Linked DNA regions of Mytilus edulis. The protein of the gene in region 2 purifies or fractionates together with the protein of the main gene of each other region. This does not show direct contact. Links are inferred from orthologs where the notes say so. Each region holds a gene or a part of one and is shown on either strand. Other genes may lie near its edges.

Evidence for each region. The genes of interacting proteins can lie anywhere in the genome.
Region 1: the proteins of SERPINE1 mRNA-binding protein 1-like (region 2) and RNA-binding protein FXR1-like purify together in Drosophila melanogaster (affinity purification with western blotting; 4 studies listed by BioGRID, with this or other methods). This does not show direct contact. The link is inferred for Mytilus edulis from reciprocal best matches to the Drosophila melanogaster genes vig and Fmr1.

Annotation. Positions count from the first base shown.
Region 1 is NC_092346.1:88,448,870-88,456,493, reverse strand, and holds the start of RNA-binding protein FXR1-like, read right to left. Parts: upstream 3,009-7,624; 5' UTR 2,663-3,008; coding exon 2,612-2,662; intron 1-2,611. Other genes in the region: WD repeat-containing protein 44-like, read left to right, coding at 3,009-3,067, 6,637-6,682. UniProt on the Drosophila melanogaster protein: Polyribosome-associated RNA-binding protein that plays a role in neuronal development and synaptic plasticity through the regulation of protein synthesis of mRNAs.
Region 2 is NC_092344.1:122,518,527-122,525,859, forward strand, and holds the start of SERPINE1 mRNA-binding protein 1-like, read right to left. Parts: upstream 3,057-7,333; 5' UTR 2,643-3,056; coding exon 2,417-2,642; intron 513-2,416; coding exon 368-512; intron 1-367. Other genes in the region: uncharacterized protein, read left to right, coding at 3,174-3,429.

The DNA.
Region 1 (7,624 bases), on a different chromosome or scaffold from region 2:
GAATAAAGAATATTTATTTGTTGAAAAAAAAAAAAAAAATTACTAGTCTGGGGCACCAGACTTGTGGCTGGCTAACTGTGCAGACTGTTATGGCACATGAGAAAATGTTTTTTTTTCTTGAATAAGAAAATACCTATTTTTTAAAATCATTTTAGTATTTTTTTTTTAACTGTTATAGATATGAACATGATCAAGCAACTTAGTAAAAAACTTTTTTTCTAAAAAAAAAGATTAACAATTGCCGACAATTCTTAAAACAGTTAGGGCCTTAACCCCTCAAATCAATTCCCTACTTCCTTTTGTGGTATGGAACCTTGTGGAACAAATTCACAGAGATCTGTGCACTTATACTTAAGTTATTGTCTGGAAACCAAATGTCTTCATATGACGACTATGACATCACCATACCATTAAGGCAGCATTTTTTTGCGGTCAAATAAATACATTGTAAGTAAAAGAAATAATCCTAAATCAACTTAAGTTTATTAAGAGAACTATATTGTCCCTGCTGCTTTAACAAATGTGTAAATTTAGTAGATTTAATTCAGAACTTATTAATCTTTAATCTCATGAACTAAACAAACAAATTTACAGTGCCCATATGGTCTGCCCCACTTGCATTGAGACTTGTAAATACAGTATTTTGGATATAAACACATTTTCATGTATGAGATTTTCATGGTTCATAAAATCATGTTCTTTGAATAGTATTGTAAAGACCTCTATTATTATTATAGAGACAATAAAAACACTTCACAAATAAATTCAAAAATTAAATGAACAAGGGACACAACTCTATCTTAAAATGTATGAAACCTGTATGTTGCACTTCTGTAAATTTATATACATATATAGACAATACAATTTCCTGTAAGAACTACCTTGATGGCTTAAACTGTGCAACTTTTACTATGAATTTTAGTAACAAATTATATTTCCTAGAATTGAAAGTTGATGTGCATTACTACTCAGTACTGTAAAGATAGAAACCTTAATTTTTGTGGGGTTAAAATTTCGTGGTTTCGTCGCTCTGTAAGATTTCATGGGGATTTAATTTTGTGATATCCTAGCTTAAATGTAAGTGGTATTATATGTATGTTAAATTTTCGTGGGGGCTTTAATTTCATGGATATATTCTTTCCACAAAATAAACTAAATTAAATTCTCCACGAAAATTTCTGCTTTTTCAGTATTACATTCATAAAGGTTACATGGGCTGTGCTGTTAATAAAATCACACACCTGTGCACATAAGCACTTGTGCATTAGTTTAAAAAACTTGGTTCTGATGATTCTTTTTTTTTAAATCTTTAATGCCATTTTTTTTTAAAATTCATCATCTTTTCAGTTTTACCTTATGTTGCTGATCTGATAGAGTCAATTTTTTTGGACTAAATCTCAAAGATTCAAACCATTGAAATTTTTGAAAGTTAAAATTGACTGATGGTCACATTTGACATGATACATATGTACATGTAAAATGTAGATGTTCTGGAAAAACTTTTTAACCTGTCATCTGAACAAGTAAATTACAGCTGTCAGACAATTATTCAACTTAATATGAATGGCTACCAATCACCATTATAGTTTGACTATCTATGAAATATATATATGTAAAAAATGAAATATATTTTTTTTGTTCAATCATCAAAGTCAGTTTGGTTATAATTTGTCCAAATTAACAAGAGATGGGTAACACAATCATTCTTCAGTTGTTATACATTTTTGTATCATTGTATATAAAAAGGAAAAAAATGTCAATCTTTATTAATGTTTATACATGTATCATGCATCAAATAATGTGAGTTCTTAGTCTTCAGAGGTCACCACAATGGTTAATAAGATGGCAACTAAACTAAAATACATACTAAGTGCTGTTACATGTTAACATTCATATTGTTGATCCTATGGCTATGAATTGAAAATTGTTTATACTTTTTTCTAATTAAGATATACGTTTTAATACATTTTTTGTGGTAAACAAAAATTGGACAGCTAATCAGTAATGCCTCAGGGCTTTAAAGCTTCATCCTATGGTTTTATTCATTTTTTTTTTATCAAACATCTAAGTAATATCTAAAAATGTACTGCAAGACTTTTTAAATATATTGATGCTTCAACTATTAGATTTATGTAATTGTGTTTAACCTTAAAACAGTGTACTTAGAACTACTGAATTAAAATTCATCCTTCATAAAAAGCAGGTAAACTTTTATATACAATAACAAATACACTTTAACACACTACTCATGCTTTTATCATTCCATCAATCAAAGTTTACTGTAGCTGAGAAGCTACAAAGATCATGATAAGACAAAATGACTCATTTGAAAAACATTCTAACCTAATTGCTAAAATCAAATTCGATATTAAAATTACAAAACAATTAATAGCAAAAAAACTGATCTTTATCCTTCTGAAATTTGTAAATCGAAAGTACAAGTTTCAGTTTCATAAAAGTTGACAAGTGAAAGTGAAACTTGTCATGTATATTGTGGACACCTTTTTTTTAAGACATATCAATAAAAGGGTCAATATGCTCCTTCTGTAGGTATCTGATATTTTTTTCTTCAGAATTCAACAAATACTCATTGTTTGACACAATATTTTACCTGATAAAATGCTCCATTTGCCCCGCAAACTTCTACCACAAGGTTTTCCATTTTGAACACAGGGAATGATGGGAAATTTAAGTATTTTCCACGCTCTCTTTATATTTCACACAGTCCTGAAGTTAAAATGCAATAGAATAGAAGTTTGTGGCCGAAACTCATCAATTCTTGTCAAGATTAAACTATAGTCTGAACGAAAAAAGTACGGAACATCGACTTTCAGGGAGCATTTCCAAAAATCTAAGTTATTCGGATTGTCTCGGAATTTTCCATTGACTTTATAATAAACCCCGAGAAAGACTTTGCCACTTCCTTTTTTGGATTATTTTGGCAGAAATGACAACACTCATTTGTAGATATCAGTAAATAATGTTTTCTGTCCACTTCAGGTGACAAAATGTCGTCCGATAGTGAACTAGAAGAATTTTATGACGCAGAGGAAGCAACACCAAAGCGGTATGGATTAAGAAAATCAGAAAAAAAAATCCTTAAATATTTGTGTACAGTGACTATCAGTGTAGTTGGTTATCGCAATACTGGGAATCTGAGTCCGTTCGCGCCCATTCACGTTCGCACCCACTCATGTTCGCACCCTACATGTTCGCACCCAAAGTCATGTTCGCACCCTACATGTTCGCGCCCAATTTTAATTGGTTTTGTGTTTAATATTTTTGTAATCAAGTTTTGGCAACTGTATTCTTATAAGTATAATTGTTGTCATTGTCTCAAAATAAAGTGAGACAGCATTTTTTTTTGTGTTGAATAAATCTTAATCATGTTTCAGAAAATGTATTGTTAAAAAAATAATAATCCTTTCTAAATATAGTCATGAGTGGGATTCTGTCAAAGTTTTATTTTGTGTTGAATAACTCTTAATCATGTTTTGGTTACTTTGTTCCACTGACTTGTTTCAAAATAAAATGAGATTCTGACTACGGTTATTTTTTTTGCGTGTTGAATAAATTTCATCATGTTTTGGTTAACTTATAATTTGTGTATTGCTATATTTTATTGTTTCATTGTTTCAGATCTATAAGAGGGACCAAGCTGTTAAAAACAATTATCTTTTGTGTTTTTCATTTAAAATCTTCATTGTTTTACTCAAACCAAGTTATAAATACATTCAGTATTTACACTTAAGCAATTTAAAACAACAGTCATGTTTTTCCAATTATTTAACTGGAATTTGAATTAAAATTGGGTGCAAACGTTTAGAGTGCAAACGGACCTTGGGTGCGAACGTGCAAGGTGCGAACGTGTAGGGTGCGAAAGTGTATTGGGCGCGAACGGACCTGATACCCAATACTGGTATAAAAATTTTGTGCCAGTATTGTATTCCAGTATTGTACCAGTATTGTGTTTTTTTTCTAAATAAACAATACTTATACCAGGTTATTGATCTTTTACTAAAGGTGTCACATTTATATATATATATTCAAAATGAAATTAAATTATGACATGACAATTTTATAAGGAATGAAATTATGAATGTATGTTTAACTGATGATGGCATTGATGGTAGCTTTCAGGTCGATCCACCCCAAGTCCATGATGTCATTGATGGTAGCTTTCGGGTCGATCCGTCCCAAGTCGATCTGGCCCCACGTTGATCCAGCCCATATGTAAAGTTGATCCGTCCCCAATAAAAAATATTTTTATAAGGAATGAATATAAAGATATTCAGGATTTGATTTAATTAAGTGATTACAAGTGGCATTACCTTAGTTCACAATCATCAGACAATTGTTGAATAAACAAACCAATTATAGACTAATGATTTGATTAATCAAGTCATTATGATGAGTTAAATTTTATAGGTTTCAGTGGACTGTAAATATTTATTTAGATATTCTGTGTATGAACTAACAAAAAATAAAATCGCCATGACATTCAAAGTTAAAGTTATCACGGAAAATAACTTCATATTTTAAAATATGTTGAACCTGCAATTCAACAATAACACTCATTTTCTTATCGTTATACAATGTTGACAACCGCATGCATTAACAATATGGCGAACAAAGACCTCTACAAAAGCACCCATAAAAATTGTCATCTGAGGCACGCTGTACTATTAATGAACAAGGAAGTAGATCATCAAGTTAAAAATAAATTTTATCACAAAAGCATACCTGCCAACTTTCACGATTTAGGCGTGTACTACACGATTTTGACCCTTTGTCACGATTGCACGATCGTGATCGTGAAAAACCCTCTTAAACACGATTTTGTGAAAATCTACACGAAAAATATGATTGTTCCCGATTTTGAACTGTGTCAAATGGAATACAATTTTGTTCAGCCAATCAAATTCTATGTTTCTCATGATCAAATTAATCAGCCAATCAAAAAAGTTTTCTCTCAAGAATATTCTAACATTCTAGATTTTGAACTTGTGTTGTATTCCTCTGTTTGTTAAAATCGTGAACATGGCAAATGGTTTTTCACCTAAAAGGAGGTTCTTACACAGAATAAGAATAAAAGCATGACTGATTGACAAACTTCAATGATGCAGTACTACCATAAAGATAATAAATAGTAATTTGTTCACTAATTCATTGACATTACACTTGCTGTAACAAATGTTATAAATTTATGTATTCAATTAAATTACCAAATTATTTAAAGTACAATGTACTATTATTTATTTGTCACATGGACAAAACAAAACCCCCCACACGAGGAACCTCTTAAATGAAGGACTTTCCTTAGTCAAGGGGTTATTTTACTCTTGTAAAAAATAAAATAGAAAAATCATTAAATGTAGATTTTTTAACTTAAAAATCGGAAATTCTGACATTATATTTAGAACAACTTTTCTAAATGAAGGGTCTAATTATTTTGAAAAATAAAGAAGATATAAGGCCAAGAACATATCAAAATTCTTGGACATCATGGACATGTGTTGACCATATAATACCAGATAGATCATAAGATGTATTATAATAGTTCTTTGGGAAAAGTTTCTTCAAATAATATGAATATGTGCTCATTTTTACCTAAAAAGTGGTTTATAATGTCCTAACATTGAGGGGTTACCCCTAGGTGTTGTTCCCAACCTGATAAAGGTCCTTCTTTGTGCACAATTTTAAATTGGAAAAGTCAACAATTATTTAATATCCTTACACATGAAATTAATTCTTGGTCTTGCAGCCACATGTTCATCTTTTCTACTGATATGTAATAACTAGAATCATGCAAATAAATTTAAGAAAAAAGCATGTAAGTTCGTCTTACAAATATGACACTTTTTCTAGACCACAAAAACAGCACGCGCAAAATAGTCGTCGCAAAGTATTGTAACCTTTGAAATTGTTGTCGCGCACTAAAACCCCCATGGGCACTTTCAAAAGTTGGCAGGTATGCAAAAGTATTTTATCGTGACTCATTACCACATCAATTTACAAGTTATAACAAAGTGTTTCATAAAGAAATTCATCATCTATTTTCTGGAACTTGAAGACTTACCGGTAAGTCCCTCAGGTGAAGCAATAATAACCGTATCCAAAGTCTAACCGTAAACTTGTTAAGTCCCAGACCTCTAACCACTGCTAAAGTCCAACTGTAAACTTGATAGGTCCCAGACCTCGAACCACTGCTAAAGTCCAATCGTAAACTTGATAGGTCCCAGATCTCGAACCACTGCTAAAGTCCAACCGTAAACTTGATAGGTCCCAGAACTCAAACCACTGCTGAAGTCTAACCGTAAACTTGATAGGTCCCAGACCTCGAACCACCACTAAAGTCCAACCGTAAACTTGATACATTTGTAGGTCCCAGACCTCAAACCACCACTAAATTGAACCCAATGTCAGACGAAAGCTGTGTCCTTTTTCCTCTAGTGTCTCAATATTGCATGTAGACATTGGCTCTGCTTCTTGGCTTATACATCAATGATCATCCAACCTGAAAAATATATAAAATTTTCTTAATTCCAACTTGAAATACGGGTATACATATTTAAAGTAAATGTACAAAAAATGTACATGCACATAGTTAAATTGCACATGAATTCTTTTTTTAAGGTATGTTCAGAAGAATTCATTGAAAGATGCACTAGAGAAGTTTTCTGTAAGTAATACATTTAAATTTGGGACTATTTATTTTCATTGTTTAGTCAAACTTGTATTCTATTAATATTAATGGCCAACACTCTAAAGACTTTTTGCTCTGATGCAGTGCAATACACCCATCAATCAACCATATTAATACTAGCTTTAATGCTCAACCAGCATTGGAAGTCATCCTATATAGTGAGTTTGTGTTTTCAATACATCCTGTCTACTCTATACTCGTTGGAGTAAAAAGGTGATGTTATTTATTAATAATTACAACTACCAGAAGGTTTACAATGACCTACATTTAGCCTAATGATCAAGGTCAAATGAATAATTTAAAAAAGATGTAAAAGATACCAAAGGGACATTCAAACTCATAAGTGGAAAATAAACTGATAACGCCATGGCTAAAAAAGAAAAAGATAAACAAACAAACAATAGTACACTAAACACAACATAGAAAACTAATGACTGAGCAACATGAACCCCACCAAACTTCACAAACCTTACAATGCCTCATGTCCAGATTCATAAACTTTGAATACCTGAAGGAGTAAGGTAATAATACATAAGCTTGGTATGAGTGTTCAACACTACTATGAGCATTCACCACTACTTGAAGAAGAGTTGTGAAAAAGATTAAAATTGCAAGCTAAAAAGTCAAGGTCATAAAATTTGTAGAAAGATGCAAGCCTTAAGTTCCACAAGTCCAATAGATAATTTTCATGTATATCCAATTTACAATTGTATATTTTAATTATTATATGTAAATGTCAATTTGCAAGTGTAAGGTAATAAATACCCTTCTCAATATCCTCATCTACATGTATAATATTTTGAAATTCCACCCTAAGAATTTGATACAATTAAGACATATAGCCAGGCAAAAAAATGGTATCCTTTGAAAATGTACATGTATTTACTAGTCAGTAAGTACAATTTTCAATTATATAAT
Region 2 (7,333 bases):
AATTTTGAAGACTTATTGCACTAGTGCAATGTTAAAATTTATTGCACGCTAACTTTTGGTTACTTTCTGTTGGAAATAATATATTGCTATACAATAATACTAAATATTCTTTTATCTTACTGACTGATAATTTCCTTCCAATGGAGTCGAGCGATATGAAAAATTATGGCTAGAATTTAAGGGAGTATATATGCCTGTTGTCAACGAAATTAACAACATCCTCTGACCTCATAGGTTAAATAGCGACTAACAGATTATAATTGGTCATCTCAACTTGATTGATTTTCTAAATTTCGCTATACAGACTTAAGTGAGAAAATCAATCTCGATGATGAGATGATCAACGATAATAATCTATTTCTTATACCTTGGTTCATTAGTCATAGATGAGTTTTCTTCAGGTCTTCTTGGCCGTCTGTCTTCCCTTGGTTCTCTATTTTCTCTGTTCTGTCTAGCACTCCTTGGAGGCCTTTCATTTTGCTGAGTCCTCGCTTGGGATGGGACCACCTTTTCTGTAATTGTAATAAATACTGTCTTATAAAACATACAATGATAAATTCTGAAATTTCAAAATGAACAATCCCAAGAATAGGGGATCTTGTAAATTTTTTCCATTATAAGGCTCAATTTTTTTTATTAGGCCTGGTTGAAATGAATTATCTATTAAAGGTATTCCTACATAGTTACTTTCTTTTGTTTGTGTGCCCACCAATACCATAAACAAAGTTGTCTTTTTTTAGTCATGGCGTTGTCAGTTTTAGATTTATGAGTTTGACTGTCCCTTTGGTATCTTTCGTCCCTCTTTTATAACTATGGGTCTAAAGCTCAAATTCAAATCAACAAAAAACTTCCTCTTAGCTTACACATTGCATGAATAGTACTGGATACATGTGTGGTAGAGTGGAAACAAAATTACTAAAATTCTTCCTTAAACTGTCCCCAGTACACGGATCGCACCATCATTTTCTATGTTCAGTGGACCGTGAAAATGGGAATCCCCATTTAGGCATTAAAATTAGAAAGATAATATCATAGGGAACATGTGTACTAAGTTTCAAGTTGATTTCTCTTCAACTTCATCAAAAACTACCTCGACCAAAAAACTTAACCTGAAACGTGACAAACGGACGCAGACCAGAAAACATAATGCCCATAAATGAGGCATAAAAATGCAATTTGGAAAAGAATTGTTTTTTTTTACTTTACTCTCATTTTTGTTTTTAAACAGTTTAGCCCACAACTATAATGGTTTTGTTGTAGTATAATGCAAATTTACTTACAAATATAATTTGATCTCACTCAACTATTTTTTGTTTGTGTGTGTAACCGGAGAGCACGTATCGTATCGAATCGTCACCACCGGGATTCGAACCCCGGTCGTCTGGGTGACAGTCAGTGCGTTAACCCACTGAGCCAAAGAATCGATTCCCTAGCTCAGTTGATTAAGACTGGCTATATATGTTCTACCTGTACTAAGGGGAAGCAACCCCGCTACACTATTCCCCCACCACAAGAGTCATCATATCTTCATATATGACTCTTAACAACACAAACCCTGGCTATACTCCAGATAACCATCGTGGATTTTTTTAGTTGGGCGCCAATGTAACCGGAGAGCACGTATCGTATCGAATCGTCACCACCGGGATTCGAACCCCGGTCGTCTGGGTGACAGTCAGTGCGTTAACCCACTGAGCCAAAGAATCGATTCCCTAGCTCAGTTGATTAAGACTGGCTATATATGTTCTACCTGTACTAAGGGGAAGCAACCCCGCTACATGTGACTGAAAAGCTGGTAATGTAAGTGCAGTTTTCTGGCAGTTCTAATATAAATTTCATTTTTTTTGTGGTCTTTCGCAAAAGCTGGTTTCTTGTCCATCAGTTCATTTAACAGAGATTTAGCAATTTAGACAATCAAAAATAGCTAAATTTATAAAATCTATATCTGCATCAGAAGCAGCTGATCAGAAGAGTTGCATGTTTAATCAATTGCAATATTTTTTTACCATGTTGCGTCACAGTATTTACAACCAAAAACTACAAAAACCTTCATTTGTTTTGTACCCCACCTTAAGTTGCATACAACCGTATTTCCCTGCAAGACTGTCCTTAATATAATAGAAGTAGGTTCAGGATCAGAAAACATGGTGGAACATAACTAGTAAACTACATAACCAAACATGGTCAAGACCACATGATAAACATAACTTCAACATCATTGCAAAATATATATTTATCATCTGGTACAGATGGTAACCAGTTTTCATACATATACACGTGAATGTGGAGGGGGGAAACAAATATAACGAAGTATTTTGGACTTCAAGCGTGTTATCTGTGAACAAATGTCAAACGGGTTACCTAATAAACAATCAAGACAATGCAAATAATCATTTCTGCACGATAGAATTATTACCTTCTTTCTTTTGTGTGTTTTGCTCTGTCAATTTAGTCTTGTTATCAGTTTGTGGTGCTGTCTTTTTTGTCTTTTTAGTTGGTTTGGACTTGTCAGCTTTCTCCTTCGCTAAAGCCTCGGTTCTCTTCTGTTCCTCTTGCTTCAGGATTTCATATGGATCGACATCATCATCGTCGTCAAAAAGACAGAACTTATTAGTCACTGCTATGCCGTATTGCGAGTCCATTGTTCCTCTTGATGCTGAGGATGGCAATGGATTTTTACGGCCTTACTTTTTAAGGTGCTACAAAATGGCGTGTTTCTCTCCAGACAGTATGAGCATGCTTTGGAATTAGAATATTCGGAGGAAAAATCCTTCCTTAGTTGTAACATAAAAACCCGAGAGTCTCGACAGTTCAAGGTTGTTTTCAAGTTCCATATTTAGAAATTTGGCGGGAGTAAGTCATAGAAATTTTATAGCCTCTGTTTTGCCACTAGTTTTCTCGCAGTTTAAACATTTAAGAGTACATTGAATAACTAAAGTCTTCATGCATATTATAATTCAGCCTATAACTAAAGTGTTTTTAAGAAATTGTAATTTATATCCCACAATGCATAGCAACGACGGGGAAACCACGAAATCCTTTTTTTAAATCTATTTTTATACCACATACCCGATTGGTGGAGTTCAGTTGGCACGATAACGGGTTTATACAGGTAAGAATTAAATACCTATGAACAAGGGTGACACAACGAAAGGTAAAGAAGTGATTTAACCATGCCGTCGTGGGGATTTAAAGATGAAAGTAAACCAGAATCTATAATTGAACCAGCATCAAATATGGATAGGAATTCCCCTGATGAAGATTCAGCTGATTTGGAAGATTATATGAAGAGAGGACGTCCGAGGGCCGAGCTAATCACTTCATTGATCTTCAAAGGTGCAGTGTCCCATAGTGGAATACGTTGTCATGTGTGTAATCGGGTTTTTCCTCGAGAAAAATCTCTCCAAGCTCATATGAGAACGCATACAGGTCAGTATTTATTTTATTTTACTCATTGAAAAAAAAATTTGTATCCTATATGTTGATAATTGACTATTTATATACTAACCAAAAAGTGTCAAACTTTTGAAATCAGAAAAAATCTTGACTTTCAAAGCAACTATTTGACAGTTCCATGGAATTTAAATTTATTGTTACCATAAACATCAATGTTTTCAGAAGAGGGTACTGATTGGAAATTATTCAATTGCTACAGTTGGAATAGTTACGGTACATTGATCGACCATTTAAGTATAAACATGTACAGTTGAAGTTATGTAACAAATGTAATTTAATACGGTAAAAGGTTGACAGGTAATGAAATGAAAAGTAGAATCAGGAATATAATATTTGTGAAGTGCAAACCACGTTGTAATGTTATTAATATTAATCTTTGTTTACATCTATATTTGTTGCAGACATTTAAACCTCCAATTTAAATCTACTACATGTACGAATATTTCCAATCAAAATTTAATTGGGGTGATATTTAAATGGCCGATCGATCAATCGTTGATCCACTGTGTCGTCAAGCAGACAGGTAATAGGAGATCAAACAGTACACCATTATCTTCAAGCTTTAACATGCTACCTGGGTTTTTAACAAAGTCCCGCCCCTTTCTTTTCGTCATGGTCGAGGTCCCGTTACACGCATGTTAAACCACTAAAGAGCACTTTGTCTCAATCCATTTGTAACGGGTTTCTTTAGCAACAACGAAATAAACAAACACAACACAAAATACCTATTTACAAAGACAAGAGATGTGTTTGAACGCGTCCCAGTATTACACCTATATTGATCACGGATTTTACCTGTGTAAATCGTCTTACCTGATTTTAGTGGTGTTATTTTTCACTCCCGTACTTAGTCTTTCTTTCACCAAATTCTACCCAACAAATGTTAGAAATTTTCAATATTTCAAGCCTTTAAATTCATCATTTGGGACATTTAAATTTATCACCGTATGTTTTGAGGTACAAATAAAAATTTAAATGCTCAATATCTTTTTAAACCGAAAGTTGCACTTTCAGAGACATTTAAATTTTAGAGCACGTGTAAAGACATTTAAATCCTATTATTATACCTTTTAATTTTGTTTTCAGCAGCCGAGAAGGTCCATTTAAAAGTTTTTATTGGAGTAAAAGGGTATTCCCTCATCAAGCTATTTATAAATTCTACATCATATATACCCGGAAGGCTGGTCACAGACCAATACACAAATAAGATCCGTATGTTGTCAGCATATTTTAAACATACCGAGCATGTTATACTTTTTGATTGTCAAAACTTGTTCCATTTCGTCAGTTTTAACCCGTGATCACTAGTCCCACACGATGTTTTATACTATATATAAAATAATAGATGTCGACGGGAAAGGGGGAGGGGTGAACATTCTTATACTATGTGTTTTCCTCATCTGACCGTCTGTTTTATTTATTGCCGATGAAAAACGAATTTGAAAGTGGGCAATACTAGGACCTTGTTATTTTTTATTGTAACTTTCAAAAGTTTGATCCAGTGAAGAAAAAAAAATTACATTACCCTAAATAATTAAACAGAACAAAATCAGCATATGACAATGCCTTCGATATTTGCCTCTTGTGTTATTGAGACCCATTAGGCATTTTGAAAGACTAATAACTTGATATAAGAAACCGTAGGTACACTGTACATGTATCTTTAGTCTTTGAGGTTGCCCAAACTACAAAACATTGTCTCTTTAATAGGTACAAAATGTCATATGAAATGTCCATTTATTATACTTTAGACAGTCGAACATTTTCAAGATACATTTTATTTTCATTCAAGAGATGTGAAAAAAACACCACGAAAGCTTACATTGTATCCCTGCTCTCCCTTTGGGATTCTAAAGTATATTTTTGCTTCCATTAACCATTTCAGTGTATTCTGGTTTTGATGCTTTAGGTAGCAAAACGTCTTAAACGTATATAAAACGGACACCTAAAACACCGGACTAAGACGAAGACAACATAAGTTTGTATTCTTGTGTTGTTGGTTTTTAAAAACTATTTTCATGTATTCGGAGTCGTGGACTTTCTATCTTTCCCCCCTAAATAGATAGCTTATGTGTATAGCCCCGAAGCTCTTTATAATAGCGTATAATTGTACTCTTAACGGGATACATGATTTTACTGTTAGCAATCAATTAAAATGTGTCTATACTGTTACAACACTAATAGGTAAATAAAGTATGAAAATAATTTTAATTTCATCAGGGCTATTGTACTGAGCCATTTCTTCTTGCGAAATGAACCGTAATTTCGTGGAAATGTTTTACAGGTGACGTAGTTTCGTGGAATATAACTACCTGTATTACAGAATTTGTTCTCGACAAGATGTTATGCAATACTGTTGGTCAATATTTATTGAAGTTTGAAAAGTTGGATTGTTTAATAAACCAATTTATAAATAGGTCGTAGCCCAGTCAACTGGAAAGCAAATAAAACTCCGTTATTTTGTTGAACTGATATTACTGCAATTTCACATTCTGTTTAGTTTTTCGGCTTTCTTTTTAGTTTACCTTTTTATTTGATCTTTTTATATTTATAATTGTGCAGATTTAGTTCAATTCTAATGACTCATGGTTCGGTAAACAGAATCTTAAAGTTAGTTGGTTTACTGGATGTTCGTATAAAAAGTTGAAATGGAAGAACATTGAATTGATTTTAGGCTGGAGGTTTATGATATTTTACTAACTAAAATATTGAAGTAAAATATCAAGTAATATTTGTGTATTTTTGAATGGCCTTTGTATGACTAAGTAAGGTTTACGAGTGATTAAGCAGGATAGGCCAAGGACAATGGAAGATATAGTTAGCTGAACCGTTATTGTTCTGGAGTTTTTTGTCAAGTGTGTGGTGTACATTTATTCCTTTGAACACGCAGTTCGCAGGGTATCTGTTCGGATTACTAACAAAAGATTACAAAATTCTGAAATGTTAACAATTACATGCCCGTTATTGCACACACTCAAACATTAGGCTCACTAAAATTATTTTTAGCATCACGATTACACAATATACATGCTTGCATTAAAAAAGGATATAAAACTTGCAACACCACCTTTCATAGGGCTTCATAGGATCCGATCAGAAAAGCTAAAAATAAATACCAAAGAAAATATTTTTTCGTTTATTAGTTTGGTTATAAATCTGTTCGTTTTCCCCCCGTTTGAAATTATTCACATTTTGTCATGTCGGGGCCTTTTATAGCAGACTTTACAACATGGTTTTGAAGGTCGCATCAACTATGGTGACCTACATATTCATATTTGAATGCATGCTTAAATACACTTTGTTGTACTCTGTTGGATATAGTTGTCACATAGGCCATCCTACCACTTCTCCTGTTTGTATATCACACCACCTTCCTTAATTTCATATTAAACCACATCTCCTTTTTTTTTTATATAACATTACACAGTCTTATATCAGAAACATATTAAAACCGTTAAACAAATGATTATAGGGTAGGTCAGTGTTTTTTTGTTATCCTCATTTTTTGGGACTAATACATTGATCGAATGTAGTACCAAGTCGTTTTGTACTTGGAACATTTGTGCCAGTTTATACCTTGAACATTTGTTCCAGTCGTTTTGTACACCGAACATTTGTCCAAGTCGTGTTGTACCTTCAGCAATTGTACATAAAGTATTGGTTCTAGTCTTAAATTTATGTACCTTGACCATTCGTTCCAGTCGTTTTGTACCCTGAGCTTTTGTCCTAGTTGTTTTGTACCTTGAATATTTGTCCCAGTCATGCTTGATTTGAGCATTTGTTCCATGCAGTCGTTTTGTACCTTTGGCATTTGTCCCAGTCGTTTTGTTCCCTAAGCATTTGTGACATTCGGTTTGTACCCTGAACATTGTGACAT